Arabidopsis thaliana: one gene and its partners. The protein of the gene in region 1 purifies or fractionates together with the protein of each later gene. This does not show direct contact. Each region holds a gene or a part of one and is shown on either strand. Other genes may lie near its edges. The genes, in order: AT1G07750, ACO1 and ACO3.

What was found.
Region 2: the proteins of AT1G07750 (region 1) and ACO1 fractionate together in Arabidopsis thaliana (co-fractionation; one large-scale study listed by BioGRID). This does not show direct contact.
Region 3: the proteins of AT1G07750 (region 1) and ACO3 fractionate together in Arabidopsis thaliana (co-fractionation; one large-scale study listed by BioGRID). This does not show direct contact.

What each region holds. Positions count from the first base shown.
Region 1 is NC_003070.9:2,401,110-2,409,522, reverse strand, and holds AT1G07750 (RmlC-like cupins superfamily protein), read left to right. Parts: upstream 1-3,473; 5' UTR 3,474-3,659; coding exon 3,660-3,855; intron 3,856-4,260; coding exon 4,261-4,981; intron 4,982-5,069; coding exon 5,070-5,223; 3' UTR 5,224-5,531; downstream 5,532-8,413. Other genes in the region: RPS15A (ribosomal protein S15A), read left to right, coding at 458-590, 682-842, 1,012-1,110; AT1G07747 (Bifunctional inhibitor/lipid-transfer protein/seed storage 2S albumin superfamily protein), read right to left, coding at 5,678-5,965; RAD51D (DNA repair RAD51-like protein), read left to right, coding at 6,681-6,768, 7,065-7,144, 7,245-7,442, 7,652-7,786, 7,887-7,979, 8,077-8,167, 8,265-8,335.
Region 2 is NC_003075.7:16,970,889-16,982,650, forward strand, and holds ACO1 (aconitase 1), read right to left. Parts: upstream 7,274-11,762; 5' UTR 7,062-7,273; coding exon 7,058-7,061; exon of another isoform or gene 6,906-7,057; coding exon 6,801-6,905; intron 6,695-6,800; coding exon 6,534-6,694; intron 6,430-6,533; coding exon 6,337-6,429; intron 6,246-6,336; coding exon 6,060-6,245; intron 5,976-6,059; coding exon 5,814-5,975; intron 5,692-5,813; coding exon 5,547-5,691; intron 5,433-5,546; coding exon 5,290-5,432; intron 5,193-5,289; coding exon 5,136-5,192; intron 5,036-5,135; coding exon 4,956-5,035; intron 4,876-4,955; coding exon 4,800-4,875; intron 4,559-4,799; coding exon 4,373-4,558; intron 4,290-4,372; coding exon 4,222-4,289; intron 4,138-4,221; coding exon 4,019-4,137; intron 3,933-4,018; coding exon 3,811-3,932; intron 3,720-3,810; coding exon 3,621-3,719; intron 3,532-3,620; coding exon 3,052-3,531; intron 2,711-3,051; coding exon 2,612-2,710; intron 2,538-2,611; coding exon 2,295-2,537; intron 2,188-2,294; and 3 more. Other genes in the region: AT4G35820 (2-oxoglutarate (2OG) and Fe(II)-dependent oxygenase superfamily protein), read left to right, coding at 333-644, 743-864, 953-1,050, 1,154-1,253, 1,355-1,541; AT4G35840 (RING/U-box superfamily protein), read left to right, coding at 10,195-10,351, 10,545-10,723, 10,818-10,901, 10,992-11,378. UniProt on the Arabidopsis thaliana protein: Catalyzes the isomerization of citrate to isocitrate via cis-aconitate. Contributes to oxidative stress tolerance. May have a role in respiration.
Region 3 is NC_003071.7:2,138,285-2,149,858, forward strand, and holds ACO3 (aconitase 3), read left to right. Parts: upstream 1-3,044; 5' UTR 3,045-3,306; coding exon 3,307-3,586; intron 3,587-3,679; coding exon 3,680-3,784; intron 3,785-3,861; coding exon 3,862-4,115; intron 4,116-4,199; coding exon 4,200-4,385; intron 4,386-4,562; coding exon 4,563-4,724; intron 4,725-4,889; coding exon 4,890-5,034; intron 5,035-5,127; coding exon 5,128-5,270; intron 5,271-5,342; coding exon 5,343-5,399; intron 5,400-5,486; coding exon 5,487-5,566; intron 5,567-5,651; coding exon 5,652-5,727; intron 5,728-5,858; coding exon 5,859-6,044; intron 6,045-6,126; coding exon 6,127-6,194; intron 6,195-6,286; coding exon 6,287-6,405; intron 6,406-6,517; coding exon 6,518-6,639; intron 6,640-6,750; coding exon 6,751-6,849; intron 6,850-6,928; coding exon 6,929-7,408; intron 7,409-7,495; coding exon 7,496-7,594; intron 7,595-7,676; coding exon 7,677-7,919; intron 7,920-7,997; coding exon 7,998-8,066; 3' UTR 8,067-8,394; and 1 more. Other genes in the region: AT2G05720 (Transducin/WD40 repeat-like superfamily protein), read left to right, coding at 8,908-9,343, 9,537-9,931. UniProt on the Arabidopsis thaliana protein: Catalyzes the isomerization of citrate to isocitrate via cis-aconitate. Contributes to oxidative stress tolerance. Modulates cytosolic citrate metabolism during lipid mobilization. Required during seedling growth.

The DNA of each region.
Region 1 (8,413 bases):
TCTCCGTCACTGAGTACCTTGCCTCTCGAGCTCCCAATCTTAAGGTACAATTGATCTTCACTATAGTCGTTCAGAATCTGATCTGCTTATAGAAATATTCAGAAGTGTGAGATAGCTGCTAATTGGTCTTTACTTTGTTTTTTTCTCTTGCTTCACATCAGAAAATTTAGGATCTTAGAGCTTTTCATAGTGAACTTAAGAACGCTTTTCGAATTAGTCAGTCTTAGCTCTATTTTGTCTGTGTGTGTATTTTCTGGACACAAGACCTTTGTTTCAATTTCTATAAGTGATTTCGGTTTACATTTTAAAAGCTTGATTTATTCCCATTGAAATAAATATTCATGATGAGTAAATCTGTGCATTTGTATCAAATTTTTAGTGCTTTGCAGATTTTATTTTAACGCAAGCTCTTGTTTGTTGTTTGACTTGTTTAGTAGAGGATTGAGCTTAAGGCAAGATGGTAAGAATCAGTGTTCTTAACGATGCTCTCAAGAGCATGTACAATGCTGAGAAACGAGGCAAGAGGCAGGTCATGATCAGGCCTTCCTCCAAAGTGATTATCAAGTTTCTGATTGTCATGCAGAAGCACGGTATGATTATCCCACCAGATTTTATATAATAGAGATTCCTAAGATTCTCGGATGTTGTTCCTTAAATTATGTGGTTACCAATCAAATGCAGGTTACATTGGTGAGTTTGAGTATGTCGATGACCACAGATCTGGCAAGATCGTCGTTGAATTGAACGGAAGGTTGAACAAGTGTGGTGTTATCAGCCCACGTTTTGATGTTGGTGTCAAGGAAATTGAAGGTTGGACTGCCCGTTTGCTCCCTTCTAGACAGGTTCGCTCTTCTTATAAACTTTCTAGTTACAGTGGCCTTATGAATTATAAGATCAAGATTTGGAAATGTTTTTGAATCACTTTGCATACTGTCCCGAAACATCAATAGTAGTAGCTTTGTTTAATGCTCGCTAATGGTATTAATGGATTGAAGCTATTAAATTGTGCAGTTTGGTTACATCGTGCTGACTACATCTGCTGGCATTATGGACCATGAAGAAGCTAGAAGGAAGAATGTTGGAGGCAAGGTTCTCGGCTTCTTCTATTGAAGTTTTATTTTATGGGGAAACAGATTTTCATTGAGTTATTTTTAACTTTTGTCCTCCATTTTCTCTGAAACTACCTTTCTCTTTCTTTCGAATTTTGTGATAACTTTGATGGATAGTGTTCTGAAATCACTCTTTTTGGTTTGGAGCCCTTTTTTAGACTTCGGATGCACTCGTAAAATTATTCTAAAAATCTCTGATTTGGCTAGTCTCTTACCTTCTCTTTACCGGCTATAATCTCTAAGTTGCGGATAATGCTCTAATTAGTCATACGAGTTCATGTATCAAACGACGTCGTAATAACTCGGAACAAAATCATTGTTGATCTACATCATATCATCTACATTGAGGCTTAAAACATCATATCAATACCTTAGGATCATTTAGAATTCTTAGAACTGATTAACTGTAGATGAAATCACAGCAACGGATTAATACAATATGCGGTTATAAGTAAAAAGAAATAAGAAGCAAAAAATACTGACAAATCATAGTTGTTATATCATCAAGAAACGTGGAAAACAAAAGAAGAAGAAAAAAACTCTTCAAGAACCAAATGCCAAAGGAACATAGTTGCCCAATTTCTAACTCTAGTTTTCACCCATAAAATGGATCACACCTTATTAGAAAATGGTCTTACGGATCACACTTCCTTCTCCAGCCAAATATGGCCCCCGTCTCATCTCATCTCCGGCGATGGGAGCTCGAAAGTACCTTCATGTATTTAGATATGTAAGAGATAAGAGAGGAGAGAGGAAGGTTTGATGAGGAGCATCCATTGTTGATGGTCTTTTCGACCTTATCAAAGGAGAAGCCAAGTGAGAGAGACGTTTCATTTTGGGTTTATAGACCAAAAAAGTGGTCATTTGTGAGAGTATCTTCGAAAGCATATGCTTTGAACCATTAACTAAGCTGACCTGAGTCCCATTATTACTACTTTTGATTTTCTTCTTCTTTTTTCTCTTTTGTTAGTATATTAAAATCTATTTAAATTATTGAGGCGAGTAACATGGGTTGCTTCGCCACAAATCAAAAGTAGAAAAAAAGTGAGGTCCTCTTTTCTTCGCCTAGTTGTTTCTCATTGGACTGCTTCCAACTCTTGTTGGTTCTGTCAATTTTACGAGGTTACCAAATTTGGTTCAGTTTTGTGAATCACTTGGGAATTAGGTTACGTTGGTATTCTTCTGCGTTTATAAAACGTGCCTATGATCTAAGTAACTACCCAAGTCATTGTCTCCAGCTAGTGGAAAGCGACACGTTACTGATGTTAGAGTTGATATGATTTGCATATTTTCTTGTTTTAAAGCACATTTTGTGTTTGTGTTTACAATTTTACATGAAACGAAATTAACATTCCACCAACCATCAATTATACAAGTGCTATTAAATACAAGATTTAGGTCAGCTGTCTAATGCAATGGAACTTAGCAGCAATTTTGAAAAAAAAAATATGGTACTAATAGCATATTGTTGTGATAAATATTACTATCTGATCATCACAGTCATTCAAGTGGCTGTAGTTTAGTGGTAAGAATTCCACGTTGTGGCCGTGGAGACCTGGGCTCGAATCCCAGCAGCCACACTTGTTTTGGTTATTTTTTCATTTTTATTTTACATGGGCATGTGATTAGCTTTCTGCTAAAGCCCCTTAAGATAAATGACACTGATGGGCCTAAGTATTTTCTCTCGGGGGGATATAACTAAGCGTTATGATATATATTTTTTTGTTTTTGTCATCTAAGCGTTATGAATATGCAAGTTAGATATAATAATAATTAGGCCAAAATTAATTACATATTTATCCATGTTAAACTAATCCTTAATAACAGCAATTCTTTCAACTTATCCATCACGTTGCTCGTTGGATTAAATTAAAATTATAACAGTCTGTTGCTACTTATATTTCTGGATAAATCCTTTACAAAATTAGAGAATATACAATCCTGTCAGCAGATCCCATCCTTAAAAAATTAGCAAAAGAAATATAAAATCAGCGATTACCTTAGATAAAAAAAACATACGATTTTTGAATTCATCCTTTAATTTTATCTTTAAGGTAACAAAAAAAGGAAAACATAATCTTAAAATCACCAAATTGGAAAGAAATATGGTGACATAATTGAGAAAATATTTACAACAAATATTCTGATGATTCGATTTGACCAAATAATACAGCACTTTTAGTAGATTTATTTAAATGTCTCAATTAGTATTTGTTTATGAAAAAAAAACGAAGAACGTGATGGATTAACAAAAATTATCTCCTCACAAAGGAATCTTTATTTGGTAGGCAAAATATAAATTATATCGTGGGCATAAAGAAATGGATAAAATTTGGATTAAAAACGTTAAACAAGAATTATCCACAAGTAAATCGTAACGCAATCAAAACGCCGAATCAGTCTCTCTATTAGTAACGGATTCACCCTAAGCCTCTCCTATATAAATACGTGTCGCATCTCTTTCACATTTCACATCAAAACTTACTACTTCTTCTTCTTCTTCCTTTACCAAATCTTTTCTTCTTTACTCTTTTTCATCGTCGAGAAAAAATGGAGTTGGATCTTACACCTAAGTTGCCCAAGAAGGTTTACGGAGGAGATGGTGGATCTTACTCTGCCTGGTGCCCAGAGGAGTTGCCGATGCTCAAACAGGGTAACATTGGAGCCGCTAAGCTTGCTCTTGAGAAGAATGGCTTCGCTGTCCCTCGTTACTCTGATTCCTCTAAGGTCGCTTATGTTCTTCAAGGTTCGTTTTTTTCTATAAAAGTTTTCTACTTTATTGCGATCCATGCGTTTTTGTATAATGGGTTTGTTCGATTTCATCACTCTGCTTCTTCTTTTGAGGGTTTTTGATCTTTTCTATGTTCTGATCTTCTTTATTGCTTTAAAAGTTGTCAACTTTATGGTAATTCATGCACTTTGACCACTGTGATTAGGTTTATTGTGATGCTGATTCTATGATCTGATTTTTGTTGTAGAAAGTGAAAAATATGATAGTCAAATAGATCACGACTACTGTGTGCAAGAAAAAAAAGTAGTCTTTAGCTGTTTTTGTTTTGCTTAATCACGTCTTAATCGTTGATCTGATCAACCTCGCGTGTAAGGAATTGAAAGCTTGTTTATTTGACTCTTTTTCAAATTTCTGTTTCAGGATCTGGAACTGCTGGAATTGTTCTCCCAGAGAAGGAGGAGAAGGTGATCGCAATCAAGCAAGGTGATTCGATTGCTCTTCCCTTTGGTGTGGTCACATGGTGGTTCAACAACGAGGATCCTGAGCTTGTTATCCTCTTCCTTGGTGAAACCCACAAGGGTCACAAAGCAGGGCAGTTCACTGAGTTCTATCTTACTGGCACAAACGGTATCTTCACTGGTTTCTCCACTGAGTTTGTTGGCAGAGCCTGGGACCTTGATGAGAACACCGTGAAGAAACTTGTTGGTTCTCAAACCGGTAATGGCATTGTGAAGCTTGATGCGGGCTTTAAGATGCCACAGCCCAAGGAGGAGAACCGTGCTGGGTTTGTCTTGAACTGTTTGGAGGCTCCTCTTGATGTAGACATCAAGGATGGAGGCAGGGTCGTTGTCTTGAACACCAAGAACCTTCCTTTGGTTGGAGAGGTTGGCTTTGGAGCTGATCTTGTTCGGATCGATGCACACTCCATGTGTTCGCCTGGTTTCTCTTGTGACTCTGCTCTTCAGGTGACTTACATTGTGGGTGGAAGTGGAAGAGTCCAGGTGGTTGGTGGTGATGGGAAAAGAGTTCTTGAGACCCATATCAAAGCTGGTTCTCTCTTCATTGTTCCAAGGTTCTTTGTGGTTTCTAAGATTGCTGATGCTGATGGCATGTCTTGGTTCTCCATTGTCACCACTCCTGAGTAAGAACTTTTCTCTGCACTTTCCTTTTTGAGGTTTGAAATTGAAAGAAACTAATATGTTTGAAACTTTTTTCTTGTGTGTTTGTAGTCCGATCTTCACACATTTGGCCGGGAATACATCGGTGTGGAAGTCTTTGTCCCCTGAGGTTTTGCAGGCAGCGTTTAAGGTGGCTCCGGAGGTGGAGAAGTCCTTCCGATCCACGAGGACTTCATCAGCCATTTTCTTCCCTCCTTCCAACTGAAGAAGGAGAAGAATGAGAACAAGAACCAGCTTTTATCTTTTATCGTTTGTTGCTTTCCCTCAGAGATTTTTGAGGGTTTTTACTTTTCTTGTGATTCAAGGAAGTTTCTTAGTCTAGTTGTTTAATTCTCTTCCTGCCTTTTCCCCCTGGACCGGTTCTTGTTCTCGTTGTTTTAAAATATTAAAAAATCAACCTTTCCTATATTTTACAGTCTTCCTTCTTTTCAACTTTTGGAAAAATTGAATCAAAAGAAATTTGTCTTCCTTCAAATTCTCACTTTCATATTAAACTTCAGAATTTTGATGGTTCAAAAAGAAATTCCAATTACTGTAAACAAAAATTCCAATCAAACGAACACTATATTGAAAAGTAAGTTCATGTAACGATGACTGATAAAACATTACAACATGTGATTTTGATGACATGAAAAGTAAGAATGGTTTGATAACTACTATTAAAACCTTTGACAAACAGGAACAGGTACACCACACGCTTCTAAAACTTGTTTAGCAGATGTCATATATGGAGCAATCAATGGGTTTTTCAAGTACTCACAAAAACACGACTTTTTATCTTTCAATTTTGTGCAACATTTTGTCGATGGTGGGGTTTCGCCTATTATATCTGGTAGGCATGCTTTGAGATCTGTCACGACGCATGCCGCTTTCTCCTCTGCTTTGGTCGGAGCCATTGACGAGAGAACAAACGCAACGAAAACTAATGTAGTGAACTTCATCTTCATGTCTTGTAAGTTGTAACCTTAAGTTTCTCCTTCTATCTAATTTCTAGTCTTGCTTAGAAAATGCTTGAAATAATCGATTACGAGATTTGTTTAAGAATGGAGTAATGTTTTGCAGTATAGGCTGATGTGTGTGTTTTAGGTATATATATAGTGTCGACTGTCTTTAATTGTTGATTACTGGAATTAAGCTAACAAATTTGAAAGCACTGCCTTTTATAGAAACTGGAAAGATTTAATTATAGGAAATGAATCAATCAGTTCACATGTGTATATACAGTTTGGAAATGTTCGAAAATACATATAGAAGTTTGATATTAACAAATGATTTCAATCAATGAAAATCTTCAAAGATTTAATATAAATAAAATTTCTTTGGAAAGTAATTAAATAGGAAAAAAAAAATAAGAGATCTGGAAATTTATAAATTTATTTGGTTTAGGTTAACTGAGTATCGGTTTAAAATTGAGGTGACCAAGGATGTTAAAATGGGCTAAAAGTTTAGGGCCGGTCCGGATCCGTTGAAAAATATAAGCTCTGGGCCTGATAAAATTGAATGAGAGATTTTCGGGCTAAAACAAGGCTGGCCCTATTTGCGGTTTTCAGATTGGGGTAAACCGGGATTAAGAGTCTGGGTCGTGAAAACGAACCGGAGGCTAATTGGATTTGTTCTTCCTTCTCCACATTCCAATTTGAGGGCAGTGGAGGTGTAACAACAATGGCGCCTCTCAAACATCTGGAGAAGGAAAATCCAATCATCGACGCATGTTTCCAAGATTTCTGCGCCTCTCATGGAATTTTAACAAGTTGTGTTCTACATCTTCTCTTCTTGTATCTCGTTTTCTCGTATCGATTCTATTTGATTTCTCCTGTTTGCCTGCAAAAAAACGACTGTGGTTGGCATATGAACATGAGAAACACAATTGCTTAGTCCAATTACTGTAAGTTCACTTTAAAAAGTTTTGAATTCTGGAATCTGGATAGTGCGCTGTTTGATATTTGATCGTTTAAGCTAAAGGTGTTCGACGAATTAGATTTTTGTAGTTATAGAGTCGGATTCGGTTTGGAATGTTTGTGTTGATGGCTTTTCTCAAAATTGCAGTTGAGGATTTCCTTCTGCATGATCTCTACGAACTTACTGCATTTTCTCAACGGCAGACAAATGCAGATAGATTGAAAGAGGTTTTTAGCTTTTTACTTAACGTTACTGTCGATTTTTGAGGTTTAATTGTGTGTGTGCGCTCAAAGGTATGTGACATATGTTTTCCTTCGGATGCTTCAGGGTATCACTCTCATCCTCTCTTTGATAGAACGTCAGTGTCGGCCATTGGTGAATGGTTTAAAACTGTTGGAGGATCTACACCGTAATAAACATACTCTGTCGACTGGAGACAAAGAGACGGACTCATTGCTTCAAGGTGGATTCCGTGAGGGTCAGCTTACAGAACTTGTCGGACCTTCCTCTTCTGGGAAAACACAAGTATGTATTTTCTGTTAGGCATTTCACTATTCATGTTTTTGTCTTGTCTTCTGTGTGAAAATTATTCATAGATAATCGTTTTAAATCTTTAGGAATTGTAGATTGTTTCATTCAAACAAAGAGACTGTTCCTAGAAAAAAAGTGTTGTCTTTGCTTACCCTTTTTTTGTGCTCTCTCTTTACATTGTGTGATTTCTTATGAATGACTAGTTTTGCATGCAAGCTGCTGCAAGTGTAGCAGAGAATCATCTTGGCAGAGTCTTGTATTTAGACACAGGGAACTCTTTTTCTGCCCGACGCATTGCTCAATTTATCTGCTCCAGTTCAGATGCTACTTTAGGGCAGGTTTATTTATTTCTTGTACCCTAGCCTATGACCCAGTTCTTTAGTCAATCACCAATTATTTATGTTTTTAATCTTATGGACAAGAAACGTATAAGTGCAGAAAGTCATGAGCAGAATATTATGCCACACGGTCTATGACATATATACACTGTTTGATACGCTGCAAGATCTAGAGATTACTTTGAGGTTGCAGGTATTAAGCTAGCTAAAAGATGCAATCTCCTCAATGTCACTTTAATGTCTATATTCTTAGTGTTAACCATGAGTTATCTATTTCTTTTCACTTGCAGATGAATGTGAATGAGTCCCGACTACGATTGTTAGTTGTTGATTCAATCTCTTCTCTGATTACTCCAATCCTTGGAGGCAGTGGCTCACAGGGTACATACCCTTGTATGTCTATCACTTTTTCTTCACCTCAATGGTTAACAGTTGTGCGGGTGATTATGAAGAATGACTCAGAAATTGGTGTGTGCAGGACGCGCTTTGATGGTGGCAATTGGATATTTGCTTAAGAAGCTGGCTCATGAACATAGCATCGCTATACTGGTATTAAAGAAGTTTCAGGCCATTAAGCGTGTCCTTGTGCTTTAAAGTCAAAACCTTTTTTTTGTGTCTCCTTGTGTA
Region 2 (11,762 bases), on another chromosome or scaffold:
ATGAGGTGAAGAGTCATCATTTATAAAATTGACCAAAACCATAATGATAACAAAAATGAAAATTAAAATAACTTGCCGACAGGTGTCACTCTATTACTTGCTGACATTCATTATTAGTTTTTTTTCCAATGATTTTCATATTCTAGTTGTATTGATTTATTTATTTTTGTTCTTTGGACTTGTATAAAAGGAGGATCAGACGGCAAAAAAATATATATTAGAGTTTGTATTTTATGAACTCACACAATTCATAAAAGGAAAACCCTAGATTCGTGTTCTCTCTAAGTTTTGTTACGAGTTCATGTATATTTTCTGACTCACTTGTGAACGCAATGTCTAAGTCGACGTCAGTGTCTACCATACTGTATCTGAGGCAGAGGTTGCAGGGGCTGAAGATATATGAAACTTCAGATCTAATACAGCACATCAACACGTTCGATGAATTAGTCGGTGAACAAGTGTCCGTGGATGTGAAAATTGAGGAAAAAACTAAGGACATGATCTTGTTGTGTTCTTTGTCCCCTTTGTTAACAACACTTACTTGTAGCATGGTGAAGGTTGCTGCTTCGTTACGCTTTCCAAACGAGCGTTGGCTCGAAGTCATAACGAAGGAGCCTAGAGCTTTTGTTTACCATAATTTCTTGGTAATTCTCTTTCACTCCTCCAGTAAACACGCATATATAGCTAGGGAACACATGTTTCTCTCATGATTTATATGCAAATGTTTAGGATTTGATCTTAGGCTCTCTTCTTTAAAATTTGTAAGACAAACGAAGAATGTGATCACTTGATTAGCCTCGCGAAACCTAGTATGGCGAGGTCCAAGGTGCGCAATGCGTTAACTGGACTTGGTGAAGAAAGCAGGTTATGTACTCTATTTTCATTTGATTTTCCCTCTTTAATTAAGTTTAGTTTGGAAAGATTTGAGATTTGGAAATATGTTAATGTGCAGCTCACGGACGAGTTCAGGAACTTTTATTAGAAGTGGACATGACAAAATCGTCAAAGAGATTGAGAAAAGGATTTCAGAATTCACCTTCATTCCTCAAGGTATGTGGCTTCTGTTTTTAAACTGGCCATAGTTTGGATTTTCTTACCAAACAAGGTCTAAGATCATTACATTATTGTGAAGTTTTATGTAATTTATGTGCAGAAAACGGAGAAACGCTTCAAGTTATCAATTATGAAGTTGGGCAGAAATTTGAGCCTCACTTTGACGGATTTCAAAGAATTGCTACGGTTCTTATGTATCTGTATGTAAACCCTTTATAATCTTTCTCATCAGCCATGTAAAAATTTTACAATATTTGCATAAGTTAATCTTGTTTTCTTTTCTCATCGTATGACTAATTAGCTCGGATGTTGATAAAGGCGGCGAAACAGTTTTCCCTGAAGCCAAAGGAATTAAAAGTAAAAAAGGAGTCTCTGTTAGACCGAAGAAGGGAGACGCTTTACTCTTTTGGAGCATGAGACCCGACGGGTCTCGAGACCCTTCGAGTAAGCATGGTAAGAGGCATTGCCTTTCTCTAAACTTGTTTTAAATCGTAATAAACCCTTAATTATAACTTGTTTGAGATCATGAGATGTAAAACAAATTTCTCAAAAATTTGTCTGTTTGATTTAGGTGGGAGTCCAGTAATCAAAGGAACCAAGTGGGCATCAACCAAATGGTTCCGCTCTCATAAGTTCATCAACTCTACACAACATTCCAAGAGGTAATCTCTGACCATCACTTCGAATGTGATAATCAATCCTTTGGATCATCTCAGATTTTTTTTAATGTTTTTGTACAACCTTCACAAGATAATTTTCATCCTCTAGCTCTTTAGATTACTTTGTGTATTTGTGTTTATTTTCTAATGGTAGAGTATACTTCTATCAATGCAGCATTGACAATGCTTATGAACAACAACAACAAAAAAAGAGCTCGCATGTTTATTTGAAAGAAAAAAAATGACTCGACAGTGATAATGTTTCCAATTGACTAGCACGAAGCAAGAGACGAAGAAGAACAAAAGCAAAAGTTTAAATTAAAGTCATTCTCGTCCTCCTCCCTGCAAACATTTTTATTGCAACAAACCTTGGGATATATAACTCAAGTCTCTGGTGTTACCAGATTTATTGTTTGATCAAGTTCCTGATAACGTATTGCAAAATCCCTCCGTGATCGAAATAAGCCAACTCCACCTGTCGATTCCAAATTCCTCTTACTTATCTCATCTCATTTTGTTTTAGAGCTAAAAAAAAAACTCAAAGACGAAAAGACGAAAATATATCATCTAGAGATAACTTACCTCTGTGTCAAATCGGAGTGTACATGTGAAAGATTTGCCATTGTTTGTGACGACTGTTACATCTTGTCCTGGTTTGATCTCACTAACATTGTTTGGGAGCTCAATGGTGTAAAGCTCCTGACCCGTTAGGCCAAGGGTCTCAGCATCTTCTCCCGCCTTGAAGCACAAAGGTATGATTCCCATTCCCACCAAATTGCTTCGGTGAATTCGCTCGAAGCTCTTTGAAATCACAGCTTTCACACCCTGTTGTCACAATTTTTTAAAGAAACCGCATAAAATAAGTGTAAGAACGTGTTTGTTAAATACAGAAAATGTACCAGAAGCATTGGACCCTTGGCAGCCCAATCACGAGAACTTCCACTACCGTATTCAGCACCAGCCAAAATGATTGTGTCGCGTCCCTCGTTCCTATATTTCTGGTACAGCACGAGGAGAGAATAATCTGATTAAAACAAAGCTATGAACTGCTATTCTAATTCCAACTGACCAAATCAGAGAATCAAACAACAAAATTTCCACCCCCAAGACAATCTGCTGAGACATTATTATTACCTCAGCCTTCACTAACTGTTCTATAAACCAACTCACAACAGCTCTAATCTACTACATTCAGTCCTAGGCTAGATACAGTAGACCTATAGCTAAGAGTAGAGCTGTAGTGCTTATTCAAAGCTTATCGTAATCCTACCCCAACCTCATGACCAAAGAGCTTGAATTTGATGTTTTCAAAAGGATAAAAAAAAAAGTGAGATTATACCATGGCAGCATCGAAAACAGAAAGCTTCTCTCCAGTGGGAATGTGAACTGTTTTGGGACCAACTTCTCCTTTCAAGTGTTTGTTGACAATACGGATATTTGCAAAAGTGCCTCTCGCCATAATCTCATCATTACCACGGCGACTCCCGTATGAGTTGAAGTCTCTTCTATCCACACCTCGTTCCATCAAGTACTTAGCCGCAGGACTGTCCTTGTGGATGCTACCAGCTGGTGAGATGTGATCAGTGGTAATACTGTCTCCAAAATTGAGTAAACAGTATGCGTCTTTCACACCATGTGGACCGGGTGGAGACATGGTCATGCCCTTGAAATAAGGCGGCTCGTGAATGTAAGTTGATTTCGGGTCCCACTCATAGAGAGTACCTGACGCCACAGATAACTGATTCCACATGGAATTTCCTTTGGTGATTGCTTCATATGTAGCTTTGAACATATCAGGAAGGACACTAGATTGAACAACCTGAAAAATCGAAACAGAGAATTTGGCATCCCCTCCACTTATAATATCTCATTGTTTACGTATTACACAAGTAGCCCATATATATTTACCTCAGCAACTTCTTTGTTAGAGGGCCAAATGTCCCTGAAAAATATCTGTTTTCCATCTTTCCCAGTTCCAATGGGCTGTGTCTCAAAATCAATGTCAACCTACAAGAATATTCATGTGAATGATTCTGTGCTTCATATAACAAGAATGCTTGAATGTTGTGAAATGGCTTTAGAGTTAGCATTAACATACAGTTCCAGCCAGAGCATAGGCTACAACAAGCGGTGGGGAAGCTAGATAGTTAGCTCTTGTTAACGGGTGAACACGTCCCTCAAAATTTCTGTTCCCAGACAACACAGCGGATGCCACCAAGTCTTGTACATATATGAGAAATCTTTTAGTTTGACCTTCGAAAATTCAAGTGAAGAAGCATTACTTCATTAACTACTTAAGGAATTACCATTATCAACTATTGCTGAAGCCACAGCTTCATGGATATCCCCCGAGTTTCCAATGCATGTGGTGCACCCATAACCAACGATACTGAAGCCGAGCTGATTCAAGTACTTCTGCAAGCCACTGCAAGACTTGAAAACTCAGGACCACACAATACAAAGGATAAGGAAATAAATAACAAAACATTCAACGGTGTATCTGCAGCACCTCTTTGCCAAGTACTTTGTTACAACTCCAGAGCCTGGAGCAAGACTAGTTTTGATCCATGGCTTAACCTAATAATTGAGAAATTTCAAACACTTCTATTATTTCCATTGCACATAAAGATATTAAATCACTATCACACAAGTAGTCAAACCTCCAGTCCTAGGTCGCAGGCCTTTTTTGCAACTAAGGCAGCGCCAAGCATTACACTAGGGTTTGAAGTATTTGTGCAACTGGTGATTGCTGCTATAACAACATCTCCATGTCTAAGCTGTGCTGTGGTCCCGTTAAAATTGAACTCTACAGCCTTACTCTGTGCTTCTTTAGGTACAGCGAAACCCTGGAAAATCATGGATAAGTAGTATCACTAACCACTATTTTTGAAAAAATGGAAGTAGGTTATAAATTCAGAAGTGTTGCAGAACGTACAAGTTAGTTTATTGGACCCGCTTAAAGACTCGAATACGTACCATTCTTTCAAAATTACAGTAACAATAGCTAGAGGTGTCATAATTTCCTACAAATTAAGCTCTCGGGACTGCAAGCATTCACATCTTCTCAACAGAAAGGAGAGTACTAACCTTGAATCCTACTCTATTGTCCAAGCAAGAATGCCAGTCCGCTTTCATTTCCTTCAAAGGAACACGATCATGAGGCCTGTATTGTGCACAGAGAATAGACATTGTAAGTAGAATGGATCCTAGATAATTTTCTGTCGAATCATTCACTAATAGTACCTCTTGGGACCAGAAACACAAGGTTCCACATCCTCGAGATTCAATTCCAGACATGAGGAATAAACTGTCTTACTCTCCGGCTGAGATGTGCAACAAGTTCCAAGTGAAGCATATGTTATGCAAATATGATATATGACAATAGGCATAAGAAATGAAGTATTAAGGATGCCCAAGGTTTACCTCACTGTAATCCACAAACATCTTGTTTGCTCGTAAATACGCCTCTATCATGGAGACCTGCAATCCAATTCACAAATCAATACCATTATGAAAGTCTTTAACACACTAAATAATGAAGATTTTCCCAAATGTGACATTTTGTGCATTTTCTTACAGTGTCATCGCTCCTGCCTGTCAACCTTAGATACTGCAAAGTGACATGATCGACTGGGAAGAATCCCATGGTCGCACCGTACTCAGGAGACATATTGGCAATTGTAGCACGGTCAGCTAAAGACAATTCTCTCATCCCTTCCCCTGTGTATGAAAAAGCAGTCGATGCATATGTGAGCTAGCCTAACTCGGTAAGGTACTATGTAAGTAAATAAGAGACATATATGAAATATGATATCAAATCTTTTATCAACGTACCGTGGAATTCAACAAACTTTCCAACTACTCCATGTTTCCTCAACATCTGAGTCACTGTTAAGACCAAATCAGTAGCTGTCATTCCATCTCTTAACTTTCCCGTTAGCTTGAAACCCACAACACCGGGTAGGACCATGCTCATTGGCTGCATATAAAGAGATGGAAAGTCTATTAGAATTATTGAAAGGATGTAGTTTAGAACCAAAGTTTCAGAAAGAGGTTAGACAGTTAGCTATGAGTTCTCGACCGAAAGAGCATCTGATTTACCTGACCAAGCATGGTAGCTTCCGCTTCTATACCGCCAACTCCCCATCCAGCAACACCCAGTCCATCAATCATAGTGGTGTGAGAGTCTGTGCCAACAACACTGTCTGGGTAAAGAAGTCCATTTGTGTTGAAAACAACTCTGGCAAGGTATTCTAGGTTGACCTGTCAATTGCAAAATTATAGAATTTAGCATAAAAATACTTTAAGTTTCCAAGCAATACCGTTGTCCCTGAATCCTCTACTTACTTGATGAACTATTCCAGATCCAGGAGGTACGACAAGCATGTTGTGAAAGGCGTTGGATCCCCACTTAAGAAAAGCAAATCTTTCCTTGTTACGCTGGAACTCAAGCTCCATGTTTGCCTGCACTGCGTTCTCTGATCTCGCCACATCCACCTGAACGGAGTGATCAATGACAAGATCTACAGGGACCTGCAATTATCAAGGCCTTGTATCAAACCTTATAGCATACCAAAAGAACACAAATCATTAACCAATCTCAGTAAAAAGCGAGGAAACTAACCAGCGGATTAATTTTATTAGAATCACCACCGAGATTATTCATGGCATCTCTCATGCAAGCAAGATCAACAACAGCAGGAACACCAGTAAAGTCCTGAAAAACAAATAGAAAAAATGATATCACATTCTAGCATTTTCAGGAAATCAGAAACATCATTATGTCATCAAGAATGTGTATAGCAACCAATCATTGTCTACCTGAAGAAGAACCCGAGCAGGCTTGAACGGAATCTCAACCTGCTTGGGAGAAGTATTCTCCCAATCAAGAATCTTCTCAACATCTTTGCTCTTAACTTGGAACTCATCACAGTTACGTATGGCCGATTCAAGAAGTATCCTAATGGAATAAGGTAGTTTATCTGCATCCACCACAACATTTCTCTCATAAAACTCTCACCAACGAGATCATAACAACGTCTTCTAACAAAATATTATAATATCTATCAGAGATAAAAGGAAACTCACCGATCCTGGGATCGTTCAAAGCAGGTAAGCTGTAGTAGTTACCGAATTCACCACCATCAGGCTTCTCTAACGCCTTCAATATGCTTCGGAAAGGATTCTCGGAAGCTGAAAACACATCAGAAACAGAGATCCACACAGCAAATCAAAATACAGAACCAGATTTCAAAAAAACGAAAAATAGCTGGAAAATCAGCATCGGCGAGAAGAAGAAATAAGAAACATGAATCATTTTGGATCGTAAACAGATAAATCGATACCCATGGATGATAGATACAAGTCGAGTGAAGAAGCAAAGTAGAGAGATCTGTTTTCAGAAGAGAGAAAGTTTATAAGCGGAGTTGGTGAGGCTACACGAGCCTGAGCCGATTCAGATTTTTTTTATATGTAAGAAGGAAATAAATCTGACAGATCCGTGGTGGGCTCTTTTCGTCAGAACTGATGGCTGTTTGATTTTTATTTTTATTTTATATTCTATTTTCTTAATTATCCAACTTTTTTTTTTTGTGAATATCCATTCTTTGCTTTTTTTTGTATCAAGTGAATTATATCTGTTCAATCATGATTTTATTTTCACAAACTTATAATCCACCAATCTGATATGTGCCTCTTCTCTATAGTATCTAGTTTTATGTAATCCAATTTTCTTCAAGGTTTCTCAATTTCACATGGCATTGATTGATTAAAAAAACCTTAATTTCTGACAAACATATACAATCAATGATCGTCGTTACAACACACCAAAAAAAAATACACACAATGACACAAACATATACAAGACACCAAAAATATTCAATGATCGTCGTTTATTTCACCACCACCTGGTGACAAAACCAAAAAATATCGCCACCAACCTGCATGCAACGATTTAAAAAAAAAAAAAATATATATATATATATATATATATAAAAAACATTTTTTTATTTTGGAAATGGGTCGCTCCGTTCGAAATTTATGTTCTGATTAATTTGGGCCTAGCCCAGTTTAACCCATCTTTGTACCCAGTTCGGTCTAGCCCAGTTTGGTTAGAGATTAAACAATGTCGTTTAGCTGAATGGTGTGTCCAGATGGAAAGCTGCTGAGATGATTAATTATTCTACCCCTCCTTGTTTAGTTTTTCAGGCCATGATTAAAATGTATAATTAAATTTACTCTTAGGAACACTTCAAGTCTCTTAAATTTTATAGTCTGTATTTAAATATTGTCCATCAATATATTACTATCCACCTAAAAATCTACTAACTATTAACCTGAACGTGGTCAGTGTATATATCTGCTTTTAAGAAACCTCACTAGTTTCAGTCCCTTGAATCTGAAGCACCTTTTTATATTTTTAAAAAAGTTAAGAAGATGTACGTATATAGATTACGAATTACATCGTCTTTGTTGATAAATATCGAGAACTATATATGTTTAACGAAATCGTTTTAGATTTGGCGTGGCTCATATTTTTTTTTTATGTAAGGACAATTACATACTATTGTTATCTCTTTCATTTATCGTCTCTTTTTAGTTTGTTTGTTTTTGATAAAGAACTCTCTTTTTTAGTTTGTTTGATCGTATATAAGTTTGTTTATACGATCTTTTAAGCTAATATCAATAAGAAAGAAGTTATAAAAAAAAAAAATTGTTTATTTTAATATGGACGAAAGCTTATAAAGTATCTTATATTTATGGAGTTGATTTGATGATGCTTCCATACAATTACAAATAAATTAAGGAGCAGATGCAAGTGGTGGCCGGGTTAAATTATCAATCACGCCAACACAAAGACGCACCACCGGTAAAAATGTGACTTTGGTCAGCATGTAGATAACCTACCAATCATAATTATATCTTCTTTGTCTATTTGGCTTTTTCTTTTCCTCTCTCTTTATATTATTATACATCCTTATAGGTAAAACATTCTGTTACTTTCACTTACCCATTGTTAATATTTCCCTTAGAAAACACTTAATTCTTTCTCACAAGATGCAAATACGTACTCATAAAATATTATTTAATTTGTATCATGTTCAATAATATCCTCTCTCAAATATAGAATTGTTTGTAAAATGATTAGAGGAGAGTGGTGTGGAGACCAAATTTTAGTCCAAGTACCAGTAATACGAATTTTTCTTTCAAGAGAAAAACTAGTAAAACACGATCGGCCAAGTTCATTACAGTACATAGAGAAACTCACTCTCAGCAGTGAAACTAAACAATACAAGACATGTATGTAAGTGACACGTAACTATATATCATGCAAATGCTTAGATTTCAATTTAATCACTCATGGGACCAGCTTCTGGACCATTAATTGCCCCATAATGTCTATAAATTAAAATACAGGTGAAATATATTGGGGTAGATATATATTTTTTTTTTATCATGTCAACTATCTAAGGTAGATAGATATTTTTAAGAAATACAGTATGTTAAAAAAAATCGTCATAGAGCCTTGTCAAATATATTCAGTAAACATAAATACTATATGTCATTATTTCTGTCCATCTTTTGAAATTTTACATATCAACAATATTATTATTATTATTTTGACTAAATAAAGAAATATGAAAATTTCAAAGTTATATAAATGATCCGATCATGCAAATACTCATTAGATGAGACATACGCTGCAACTAATTATCTCTTGAAATGATTAATTAATCGGCTTACCACTGTAGAGATCGAAAAACACAGAGTCTTGGAATACAATTATACAGAAACGGTAAGGGTAATCATTCAGCTTCTCGCACGTAATAGCACAATAACAAAGTCTCACCGTACCCATTTTAGTTTGGTATAACAATAAAGTATTGCTCATATTAAGGTTCTTACTATAAAAGGAAAGGAAGAATCAAAATAAGATTTTGAGATTTCCTCAAATAGTTAACATGTATAGAAATTATTTCTGTTTCGTATCTAATTGTTTCTTCTGATTGCTTGTATGATTCGAAAATGATCGACCCTACCATATTTTGGTATTATTCAGACAATCTAAATATCTCCCGTAGTTTTCTTATAATTAAAATCTAACACATTTTAAAAATTTATGTAAAAAACGAAGAAGTTATTTTATTAAACTATAAATAACCTTTTCTTTATAACTCTCTGCTTCTATCTTTCGAGCATTGAAATGATTAAAAAAAAATTAGTGGTGTTTTCAACATAGATCATGACAGGCAAACCCTAGATTTTACTTCACCTACTTGAGGTTAAAAAACTTAATTGCAAGTAGGCCAGACATCGGATCTTCTCTCTTAAGGGCTAAGCAAAACCCATCTCTCCTCTTTCTTCTATCTTCTTTCTCTTCCTTCTCTCTTCTCTTGTATAAACTCCACTGAGCTCTGTTTTTGTTTTTACCGTAGATCGTTTCGAGTCTCTTTAATCTTTGGCGGGTTCCGTAAAAAAAAAAATGGCCTCTTCTAGATTCCAATCTGGGTTTTGTCCTATCTCTTCGTGTCCCTCTCTTGAGAATTTCATCGAAAGGATTAAAGACGCATGTCGTTTCACCCTCTCCGCTGTTCTAGGGACAATTCTCTCGGCGGTCTTGACTTTCTTCTTCGCTTTAGGTCGGTCTCTTGTTTCCTATTACAATTTCTTGATTCTTTTCAAGAATGTCTCTCCACTTCTTGGAAACTTTTATGAAGCTTTTTGTCCTGCTTTGGATTGATTTGATCATTGATATCACTTTACTGTTGAGTAGGGTAGAATCTGCAACTTTGGGTTTTTATGTAGAGCTAAGAAAGTTGTTTCCTTCTTCAGTGGGCACATTGCTTGGAGCACTTACTGGAGCTTTGATAGGCCAAGAAACCGAAAGTGGGTTTATCCGAGGAGCGGCGGTTGGAGCCATTTCGGGAGCTGTTTTCTCTATCGAAGTCTTTGAGTCATCTCTTGTTCTTTGGAAATCTAATGAGTCACGTTTTGGATGTCTCCTCTACTTGGTGAGCTGAGATCTTCATTTGAACTACTCATCTGCTCTGTTTTTTTCCAGATTTGATTCGAACTGATTCTTGTTTCTTGTTAATCTTTGTGTAGATTGATGTCATTGTTAGTCTGATAAGTGGTAGACTTGTGCGGGAACGAATAGGTCCAGCAATGCTAAGTGCGGTTCAAAGTCAGGTACAGTTTTTTATTAGCAATGTGTTATTGGTTCCATTATCAGCAATGAGATCTCCTCTAATCATATTCATCTCTCTTCTCACTGATCAGATGGGAGCTGTGGATTCAACTTTCGAAGAGCTCTCGAGTATTTTCGATACCGGTGGCTCAAAGGGGTTAACAGGAGATTTGGTTGATAAAATACCTAAAATCAAAATCACTGGCAAAAACAACTTAGATGCTTCTGGCAACAAAGACTCATGTTCTGTTTGTCTTCAGGTTTTTTGCTCATTTCAGCTCAAACGAAATCTTAATTCCCCAAATGCAGAACCAAAAGGTTTAGTTCTTGATCTTCTTTTGTGTAACTTTTTGCAGGATTTTCAACTTGGTGAAACGGTGAGAAGCTTGCCACATTGTCATCACATGTTTCACTTGCCTTGCATAGACAATTGGCTCTTCAGGCACGGATCTTGTCCAATGTGTAGACGCGATCTGTAATCTCTTTTCTTACCATTTGCACAGCCTCTTCCCTCTCTCTCCTTCTTCTTGTATGGTCGTAAATTCGTAATCATGTGGTTAGAGTCTCTATATATGTACAAAGAAATGAAAAAAAAAAAGTTTTGAAATAAGTTGATCTTAACCAAACCCATTAAATTCAAGACTTTAGATTGTGTGTTGGTCTCACCAAACTTTGAAGTGAGTGATTGAATTTTCGTAAATACAACTACATTCAGTAGTTATGACGTGAAGGAAAGAAATTGAATTCTATGTGTGAATCTATGGCTCGTGTGGGCCTCCAGGAGATAAAATCATGCCAAATCACATTTCTTGATTTGGTTTGTTAATTAGCTCTTCTTACATCTAAACAAAACATTAATAATA
Region 3 (11,574 bases), on another chromosome or scaffold:
GTGCAATTTTTTTTTATTAGTAAATATAATAATATTAGATTTCATAATTTTTTATTTAGTATTAAAGTTAATAATTTTTTATTAGTGCTGGAAAAAAAGAAACTGAGGCTGATAAAATATTAAAATTACATTTAAACCGTGTTATTACTTTGGGTTGATGATACTATAAATTTGTAATAATATCAATCCAAACCCGTCCCATCATATAACTCTAAATTGATATCATTAAGATTTTTGGGTTAACATATTGAATATTTTTTCAAAACTAATTGACATTGCCAACATAGAAACATTAAAATCGAAATTACAGTAAAATGGTAACTTTTTACTCGATATCACAAAATCCAGTAGATAATATTCAAGAAAATGAAACATGACCACTTTAACTTTTTTTTTTTTTTTATAACACGATGACCACTTTAACTTTTTTTTCTTTATGTGAGAATAATACAAAATAAACCAAATAAATAATACAAAATATGACCATAATATCAAACCTTGCACGATTATTTGATAATGTGATGGTTTATTTGAAATCTACATATACATTTTTGCAGCCACTTTGTGAAATAAATCTTCAAGTTGAGACTTATTTACAGTGGCTGCCACCGGCATTTAATAATTGTTTTTGATAATTAGAAAGTAAATCTTCGAATTAAATATTTGCATTTAACTACCTTTCCAAAATCTCTCTGCATTAACTATACGATTAATTACTAAAATAAAATTTCCAAAATATTTAATATCATTTAAATACTACAAAATTATCATTTTTGATATTGCTTTTTTTTTATGACTATAACAATTCGATTATAAGCAGCAAACCGTAAAGATATTTGATAGCAATTAATTACTACAAAATTATAAAATATTTAGACAATGATTCATAAACATATCATAAATAAGATCAACATTAATAAAATAAATAGTTTTTTTTACGAGACGGGTTGGCGGGACGGGTTTGGCAGGAAGCTACTTAATAACAATTGTAAACTATAAAATAAAAATATTTTATAGATAGATAAAATTTGTAAACTTTTATATATACTAACTTTAAGGAAATAAATTGTCTCCGCGGTATACCGCGGGTTAAAATCTAGTTAATTAGTGTTATCGACTCATGATTAAATATATAGAATTGATATAAACTGAACAAGATTTCAAAAGTATTCATATGAAAAGAATTAAAAAAAAAAGCATAAATTAAAGCAGTATTTAAGTCAATACTTTTAGATCTTCTCTCATTGCATATATCAATATAAGAGAAATGATCGTGTATTAAATTATTTGGTAAGTCTAACGTTTTAAAGGTTTATTATTTGAAAAAACTTGAGTGTCAATGTTATCAAAGACTCAAAATAAAATTACTAAACTAATAAGAGGTTAGGTAACGAACAAGTACAACACAAAAAAATTAGTAAAATAAAAAGAGTATAATAAAAGTAGTGCTTAATTTATTAACATAATTTTTTATTTTATTTTTATCTTGAAAAAATCAATTAAGAGTAGGATTGATGATACATTTAATTTGCTTATTTAATATGATTAATATTTTAATTTAAAAAATATAGAATGACACATGTCATTTTTTTGTGTGATGATGTGTCATTCATATGGAAAGAGTTGGCCAACTTTCATATATATGATTAGATTTCTAAATGATCATTGCCGTAATATTAGTAAAGATGTGTCCAGTGTTTTAGCAATTTTTACCAAACTAATTTTGATTTACATCTTTAATTAAATATTTCATTTATTAATAATTAATGTCAATAGCATGACATTGTAAATAAGTTCAAGTACAAGATTTATTTGTTAAAGTAGCTGAAAAATGTATATGTAGATTTTAGATCTCTAAATAAGATTAACATAAGAAATCTGTATCGGTCTAACTAATGATGAATCGCGAAGGACAACGTTAGAAAACTAATGACGAAAATATGTTCATGAGAATAATATATACTAAACTAATAAGAGGTTTGGTAGCAAACAACTACAACACAAAAAAAAGTCATTATCTAGTAGTGATTATTGATAATAAAAATTTAATAAAATAAAGAGTATAATGAAAGTAGTGCTTAATTTATTAACATAATTTTTTTTTATTTTATTTTGAATCAATTAAGAATAGGATTAATCATACATTTAATTTTAGAGTATTTATAATAAATGACTATAGATTTGAAAAGAATGTACAAACTAACCTTGAGTCACAGTATCTTGTCGGAAACATGTTGGAGAACACTTGTTATTTTCTCTTATTACATAGTATTTATAAAAAGCACATGCTATTTTTTGGAAAAAACATTGTATTCAGTTTAATATATCTTTTTATCATGATATTTTGTAGTAATACACGTTTTTTATTGAGATCACACGTGATTTCTTTAAAAATATTCTTATTTTTTAGTAATACATGGTTTTTATTAAAATCACATATAATTTTTGTTTTAAGATTCTGTTCATGTAAAAGAATTTCATAATAATGTTTTAAAAAAAAAAATTCATAACGTATTATGAAATAGCATGTTTTTAAACTAAATATAACATGTGAAATTTTAATGTTACATGATATTTTGAAAAATTACACGGATGTGTTTCGTTTACTTTTCATCTTACAACAAATAAAGGATAGCTTTATTATTTCCTTTCTTCCGACAACGTGGGTCCATGGTTATTTTGTAACAAAAAACTTTATCTCTGCTAGTTTCTTAATTTGTATGTTTTATTTGGTTATCTACTAATATTACCTTTAATTTTATTATTTTTTAAATTTAAAAATATAGAATGATATATGTCAAACTTTTGTGTGATGCTTTTGTGTGATGGTGTGTCATTCATATGGAGAGTGTTGACCAATTTTCATATATATATGATTATATATTAAGAAACTATATATTACGTTGTCTTTTTCAAACAGGTAAAAATGTTATGAGATTTATTTGATTTTTAAGTAATTATTTAAATTAAAATAAATAAAAATATATATTATTTTAATAATAGGGGCTAAATAGAAATTATGTGGAGGAGAGGGGCTGCGTAGATTAAAATCCAAAAAATACCGTAAACAAAAAAAAATATTCCCTTGCGAGAGAGGGAAGATTGACTTATTGGCACGCAGCCCTAGGCATTTTCGTTTCGTCTCCACACGCCTCTCTCTCTCTCTCGCTTCTTCAATCATTCATCACTCCGACGTCAGATTCAAAATCCTCCATGATCGATCCCAATTGATCAATCAATAACCTTATCTTCTTCATCTTCTCTGTCAGTATCTGAATCTGCATCTGGAAGCGTGATTTCATCATCATGTATTTAACCGCTTCATCTTCCGCTTCTTCCTCCATCATCCGAGCTGCTTCTTCTCGCTCTTCTTCTCTTTTCTCTTTCCGATCGGTTTTATCTCCCTCCGTTTCATCTACTTCTCCGTCGTCTCTTCTCGCTCGTAGATCTTTTGGTACCATTTCCCCTGCTTTCCGTCGCTGGAGCCATTCCTTTCACTCGAAACCATCTCCGTTTCGCTTCACCTCTCAGATCAGAGCTGTTTCTCCAGTCTTAGATCGTCTCCAGAGAACCTTCTCTTCCATGGGTAAAATATCTCGATCTGATTGATCTAGCTTGAGTTTTTTATTCCGATCTCTGTTGATTAGTAGTAACTGTTTTGTGATTATGATTGTTTCAGCGTCAGAGCATCCGTTTAAAGGGATCTTCACTACACTTCCTAAGCCTGGTGGTGGTGAATTCGGAAAGTTCTATAGCTTACCTGCTCTTAACGATCCACGAGTTGGTATGGATTTTTTGAATCTCTCTTTGAATGAGTTTATGAAGGACCTGAGAATCTGAAGAGGAGTGTTGTATTTGCAGATAAACTTCCTTACTCTATTAGGATTCTGCTTGAATCTGCGATTCGTAATTGTGATAACTTTCAAGTTACTAAGGAAGATGTTGAGAAGATTATTGACTGGGAAAAGACATCTCCTAAACAAGTAGAGATTCCTTTTAAACCAGCTCGTGTTCTTCTTCAGGACTTTACGGGAGTCCCAGCTGTTGTTGACCTTGCTTGTATGCGTGATGCGATGAATAAGCTGGGAAGTGATTCCAACAAAATCAATCCCTTGGTATGTTTTTGTTTGCCACAGATTGATGCTTTTTGTTTAGGTTAGGGTTCTTTTAGATTTCTTATGTTATACTGTGTCTCTCAGGTTCCGGTGGATCTTGTGATTGATCACTCGGTTCAAGTAGATGTAGCTCGATCAGAGAATGCAGTGCAAGCAAACATGGAGCTTGAGTTCCAGAGGAACAAGGAGAGGTTTGCTTTCCTTAAATGGGGTTCTACTGCGTTCCAGAACATGCTTGTTGTGCCTCCTGGCTCTGGTATTGTGCATCAGGTAATTCTCTTTTTTAAAGTGTGCGAGTCCATAAGTTGTTTCTAAACTTGTTCTGACATTGATATATATCCTTTTCAACCTCATGTTTCCAGTGTATTGAAATGTTTCTTTTCATTTATTATCTTCTTTTATCTGTCTTGAAGTTTGTCTCAAACTAACCTCATCTTGAAAATTCAGGTCAATTTGGAATATCTTGGAAGAGTTGTGTTCAATACCAAAGGCCTTCTCTACCCAGACAGCGTGGTTGGAACTGATTCACATACAACTATGATTGATGGTTTGGGAGTTGCTGGATGGGGTGTTGGGGGTATTGAAGCTGAGGCAACAATGCTTGGCCAGGTAAATTATTTTGATTATTTACATGACGCACATCAGATGTTGGTTAATCTGGAGTCAACTTTACTGAATTTTAGATTAGATCACTATATTTTATGACTCTTCTGCTCCAATACAGTGAGGTTTGTGAATTTTTCTTATACTGATAACGCTTTTTTGGTTTGACAGCCCATGAGTATGGTATTGCCTGGTGTTGTTGGATTCAAACTTGCCGGAAAAATGCGTAATGGTGTAACAGCTACTGATTTGGTTCTAACAGTGACTCAAATGCTGAGGAAGCATGGCGTTGTTGGAAAGTTTGTTGAGTTTTATGGTAATTATATCCTTGTGAGCTCTTAAGTGTTTTGCTCTTTTATAATAGACATGTGTTTGTTGGAGCATTATAAGTCTACTTTTTTCTTCTTAGGTAATGGCATGAGTGGGCTGTCCCTAGCTGACAGGGCGACAATTGCCAATATGTCTCCCGAGTATGGTGCAACCATGGGCTTCTTCCCTGTGGATCATGTTACTCTACAATATCTCAAATTGACTGGAAGAAGCGATGAGACAGTGAGTGTTTGACTTTAATCTTCCTTCTATATATATTCAGATATCTGGTCTGATACAATACTTTCATGGCAGGTGGCTATGATTGAAGCATATCTTCGGGCTAACAATATGTTTGTTGACTACAATGAGGTAAATTAGCCTTATACTTTCTTTCTTTTTTTGTTTCTTAATCTCCTTTCAGGTTTTTATTTGACTTTGCTTGTGAATAAATTTCAGCCTCAGCAAGACCGGGTTTACTCGTCATATCTAGAACTGAATCTGGATGATGTTGAACCTTGCATTTCTGGACCAAAGCGGTATGGGTTCTGTTGGTTTTTGTAATCGCGAAGTTTATTGTCTGAATAATTGGTCATGACCATATTATTGATATCTTCTTTGCAGGCCACATGATCGTGTTACTTTGAAGGAAATGAAAGCTGACTGGCATTCATGTCTTGACAGTAAAGTTGGGTTCAAGGTATGTAACTGGATGTTTCACTTTGTGGATGTCTAATCTCTTAACCATTTACTCGTTCTATAGACTGGGTTGTTGGTGCACATTTTGGAAATCAATGTTTATTTCTGAATATTGCTATTCATTCTCCGCAGGGTTTTGCTATACCTAAAGAGGCACAAGAAAAAGTGGTAAATTTTTCGTTCGATGGACAACCAGCAGAGCTTAAACATGGAAGTGTGGTGATTGCTGCAATCACAAGCTGTACTAATACATCAAATCCCAGCGTCATGCTTGGTGCTGGTCTTGTTGCAAAGAAGGCTTGTGACCTTGGGCTACAGGTTGGTTTCACGAGAGCAAACTAGAAATCTATCTGATGCCTCGACATTTTCTGATCCCTTTTTCAAAAACTTGCCTCTGTAGGTTAAGCCTTGGATAAAGACAAGTCTTGCTCCAGGCTCAGGAGTTGTTACAAAATACTTATTAAAGAGGTATGTCGTATTTTTATCTAGTTCTTCGTTGTTAAAGGCTAATTCTTTCTTATGTGATGGTAAATTTAAGTGTAACATCTTACTCCATGCAGTGGATTGCAAGAATATCTGAATGAACAGGGTTTCAATATTGTCGGCTACGGGTGCACTACATGCATCGGGAATTCTGGGGAAATTAATGAATCAGTGGGAGCTGCTATTACCGAAAATGGTATTATTGAGATTCCCAACTAAACTTACTTTGGACTTTCCATCCTTTATATTACTATTATATATAAGTAAGTAGCTGATTTGTTTTCAATATTTGTGTTGCTTGGTTTTAGACATTGTGGCGGCTGCTGTGCTATCCGGTAACAGGAACTTTGAGGGGCGTGTTCATCCACTAACAAGAGCCAATTACCTTGCATCTCCTCCGTTGGTGGTTGCCTATGCTCTTGCTGGCACGGTAATAAATCTTGAGAACTTGTCAAAGTTCAACTTACATTTTGTATGAGATAATGACACATGACTGATTATCACATTGGTAATTTTGGCGTTCTTCTTTCTTATTTTCCAGGTTAACATTGACTTTGAAACGGAGCCTATTGGCAAAGGAAAGAATGGCAAGGACGTCTTCTTAAGAGATATCTGGCCAACCACGGAAGAAATTGCTGAGGTATATACGACTTAACCAGAGAACAATAACATCTTTTTTATACACAAATATTAAACTAATCTTTTGACATATGGATCAGGTTGTTCAATCCAGTGTTTTGCCTGACATGTTCCGAGCAACGTACGAGTCAATCACCAAGGGTAACCCCATGTGGAATAAGCTGTCTGTTCCTGAGAATACCCTCTACTCATGGGATCCCAACTCAACTTACATTCACGAGCCTCCATACTTCAAGGACATGACCATGGATCCTCCTGGTCCACACAATGTGAAGGATGCTTACTGTTTACTCAATTTTGGGGACAGTATCACCACTGATCACATCTCACCAGCTGGAAACATCCAAAAGGACAGTCCTGCTGCAAAGTTTCTCATGGAGCGTGGCGTTGACCGTAAGGACTTCAACTCATATGGAAGTCGCCGTGGGAATGATGAAATAATGGCCAGAGGTACTTTTGCTAATATCCGTATCGTTAACAAGCTCATGAATGGTGAAGTTGGCCCTAAGACTGTTCACATTCCATCTGGAGAGAAGCTCTCAGTCTTTGACGCTGCCATGGTTTGTATTTATCTAATTAAAATTTGTATTACTGACTGTATGTTGATCATGTCGAATGTCTCCTTATCATAATGTCAAATGTATCAGAGGTACAAGTCATCTGGTGAAGACACAATTATTCTGGCTGGAGCTGAGTATGGAAGTGGTAGCTCACGTGATTGGGCTGCCAAGGGACCCATGCTACAGGTTTAGAACCGCTTCTCTAGTTTCTTTCCGCATAAACCAATCTTACTGTTTTATTCTGAAACAACAAGTTTGGGATTGTCAGGGTGTTAAAGCGGTGATTGCAAAGAGTTTTGAGAGGATTCACCGAAGCAACTTGGTGGGAATGGGAATCATCCCATTGTGCTTTAAGTCCGGTGAAGACGCAGATACTCTTGGATTGACTGGTCACGAACGCTACACGATCCATCTCCCAACCGATATCTCAGAGATAAGACCTGGCCAAGATGTTACCGTCACTACCGACAACGGAAAATCTTTCACTTGCACAGTCCGCTTCGACACAGAGGTAACTAAATACTCCAATCTTTAGTGAAAAAAAGCTTTTCAATGTGAAGGAACTAATAATGGTAAAATAAATGTGCAGGTGGAATTGGCATACTTTAACCATGGAGGCATACTTCCATATGTTATCAGAAACTTGAGCAAGCAATAGTGAAGGAAGCAATACACAAGTTATGGAGCAAAATAAAAGAGTGTTTGTTTCTGTTTTAAAATGTCTTTTTTAAAAGGCAGATAAGTCTGTCTAGGATTAGGTTAAAAGGTGAGTGATCTCATGCAATATATGAGTTTCAGTGGGTTATTCTTACACGCTTAGGCTCCCATGTTTCGCAACTTGCAAGAGTTGAATATTATTGTTTTTGAAAAGGAATAAGAGAGCCTTCTTGCATATTCCCATTACTGACTCCCAAAGACCTCGCAATCTGTTGCATTTCACAAGCGTATTCAGCAGCATCTATACCAATTCTCAGATCATGTTCAAGAACACCTGCTCTATTCAAATCTACTTGCACCATTAGAGTAACCAACTAATACATAAGAAACACAAACATCTTGCAGCTGAAGCCTAAAACCAATACAAGAATCTGATAAAACCAAACTGAAACTTGTCATAAATTCCATATGAACCTGAGAGTAATCTCCTGTGTCTGAATGAAGTAACTTGCCAGCATCTTCTTCCATATGAACCCTAGTAATACCAAAATCTCCTATGTCCACCACCAAACTCAAGAGGAATATCCAAATCTGATAACCTTGAAGAAGATCTGGATAAAAATACTGCTTCCTATCGAATTTAGACTTAAGAGACAAATCACAATTCAAAGCTAACCCCAATAACCCACTTTTTTAATAGATTTCCTTTCTTTCTTTCTGATCCATCTCGTTTACTTTGCTATAAATAAGAGCTTTGGTAAGCCAAACCTTCTTGTCTTCTAAGTGAACTAGTCTTGTCACGAGCTTCTTCTAGATCTTGTTTCAAAAGTTTGTTTATACCAATGGGTCCAACAGAGCTTAGAGAGGCTAGAATAGAAATTACCAAAGATTTTATAAAGAGAGCTGCTCTAAGGATTCAGCGTGAAAATCGGCGAAGGAATGATCCAGATGAAGATAAAAATGCTGAGACTAAATTGGCTTTAAAGCATTGTAAAGACATGGTTCTTGGTTCTAGTAAATTTGGGGATGATCGTCCTCTTACTGGTTGCTCCTTATCACGAGATGGAAAAATACTCGTCACATGTTCTCTTAGTGGGGTTCCTAAATTGTGGGAGGTGCCTCAAGTTACAAACAAGATTGTTGTCTTGAAAGGTCATAAAGAACATGTAACTGATGTAGTGTTCTCGTCTGTGGATGATGAATGTCTAGCAACTGCTTCTACTGATCGAACTGAAAAGATATGGAAAACGGATGGAACACTTCTACAAACTTTTAAAGGTCATTCAGATCGTCTTGCACGCATTGCATTCCACCCGTCATAGTCGTAGTGTTGAGATGCCTCCGGACAACGAGTTTTGATAAAACATGGAGATTGTGGGATATAAACATAGGAGTTGAGATGCTTTAACACAAGAAGGTCATAGTCGTAGTGTCTACGGAATTGCATTTCAACAAGATGGATCATTAGTAGCTTCTTCGGGTTTTGATTCGCTTGCAAGAGTTTGGGATCTTCGTACGGCTAGGAATATTCTTATCTTCCAAGGACATATCAAACAGGTTCTCTCGGTGGATTTCTCTCCTAATGGTTATCATTTGGCATCTGGTGGTGAAGATAATCAATGCCGTATTTGGGATCTACGGATGAGAAAGTTGTTGTATATTATACCAGCTCATGTGAACCTCGTTTCTCAAGTAAAGTACGAACCACAAGAACGCTATTTCCTGGCTACTGCCTCACACGACATGAACGTTAATATATGGTCAGGTAGAGATTTCTCGCTTGTTAAAAGCTTAGTAGGACATGAGTCAAAAGTCGCATCTCTTGATATCGCTGTAGATAGCTCGTCTCGCAAGTGTTTCGCATGACCGCACCATAAAGCTTTGGACATGCTGTGGGAATGATGAAGATAATGGGAGAGAAACAATGGACATAGAACTCTAGTTTGTTTTTGAGTTATTTACATTTTACACTCTCACATACTTTTTCATCTTTCATTTTACACTCCCACACTTTCATCTTCCAAAACAATTTTTTTCCTGTGTTATTACCGAAACGCCCCCAACTACATACCATACACTTTTATCTTTCAAAAATAACGGTCCTCTTTTTTTTTTTCTCTCTCTCATTCTCTCTCTTATTATTATTTTAGTTACTTAATATAAAGTGTTTTGTCTGTTTTCTTATATAATAAATCAAGAATTCATTTTTCCTACATTTTAAGATCCATTGTTACTATATTTTAAGTAAATAATTATATGACAGTTTATCCATTTCCGATCGAACATTTGTTTACTATTAAATGGATTTTAAAAGGTACTTGCACAAATATACTATACCGATATTTATAACTACTGATCATCCAAACATGTGAAAGAAAGTGAATGCAAAGCTTGAAAAAACAAAAATGCAGATGTATTAATTCAAGCGTTCTGATCTGATCTGATTCAAATAAAAGAGAAGAACATGACAAGTAAGATGTCCATCAAAGATTGTATATATGGATGATGGCAAGTATGTTGACTATTCAGTGTTATTAAGTATGTTTAGTGAACTTGATCTAAGCAATATCCTTTGACCATCTAAGTGGATAAGTGTTTATGGACAAGTGTTAATGGACAAGTATTTATGGCCGAAACTAAGTAGATGAACTGAAAGTGTTTAGAGAACCTTAAATCTATTATGGTGTTGCTGGTTGTGATGGTTTCCCAAGCCTGCAACAAGTCTTGATGATTTTCAATTGGCCGACGATATATATGGTTTTCACAAAGCATATACAGTTATCCAAACTTACTTTTATTTGTGTGTTTTTAAGCTGGTGGTTCTTTAAGTCATCCATTTGTTCGAATCTAGTAGACTAGTACATGGACGATATGAACATGTTGAAACAAACAATTGTTCACAATGTCATGGATGATATGGTTATTAATGAATCAAATCAGATCAGAACTCTTGAAATAAATTTGCATTTTTGTTTTTTCAAGCTTTGCATTCACCTTCTCTCATCTGTTTCACTACAAGAAATATGGGCACTCTTAGCACACGGAAAACACTATAATATTGTTTATATAGCGAATTCATAAACGCTGTGTTTGCTGGAACTATCTTAGGTCGGTCACATACAATAGCTTTTTTTTGCTATGCTATGTTATGTAAATATATCATAGCGTAAATTATGTTATATGATTATTATTTTTGCAGCTCAGTTTTAATGTTGTATTATATTGTGTTGTAGCAATTTATATTTGTTTATTATATTACACTTATAGCTCTTGTTTATTGCTCTACTACATGTTTATGTGATATCTTATTTCATATACATTTAATCCTATTTACATAAATATTTAGTTAAATTTATTAAAAGGATTATATTAGATATATTATACAAAACATACATACCAAGTCTTATACTAACTCTATATGTTCTTTTCTATTTTAAAATTAAAATAAAAATAAAAATAACAACCGAGTTTATTATTTTAAACAACCAAATATATGTTAAGTTCCCAAA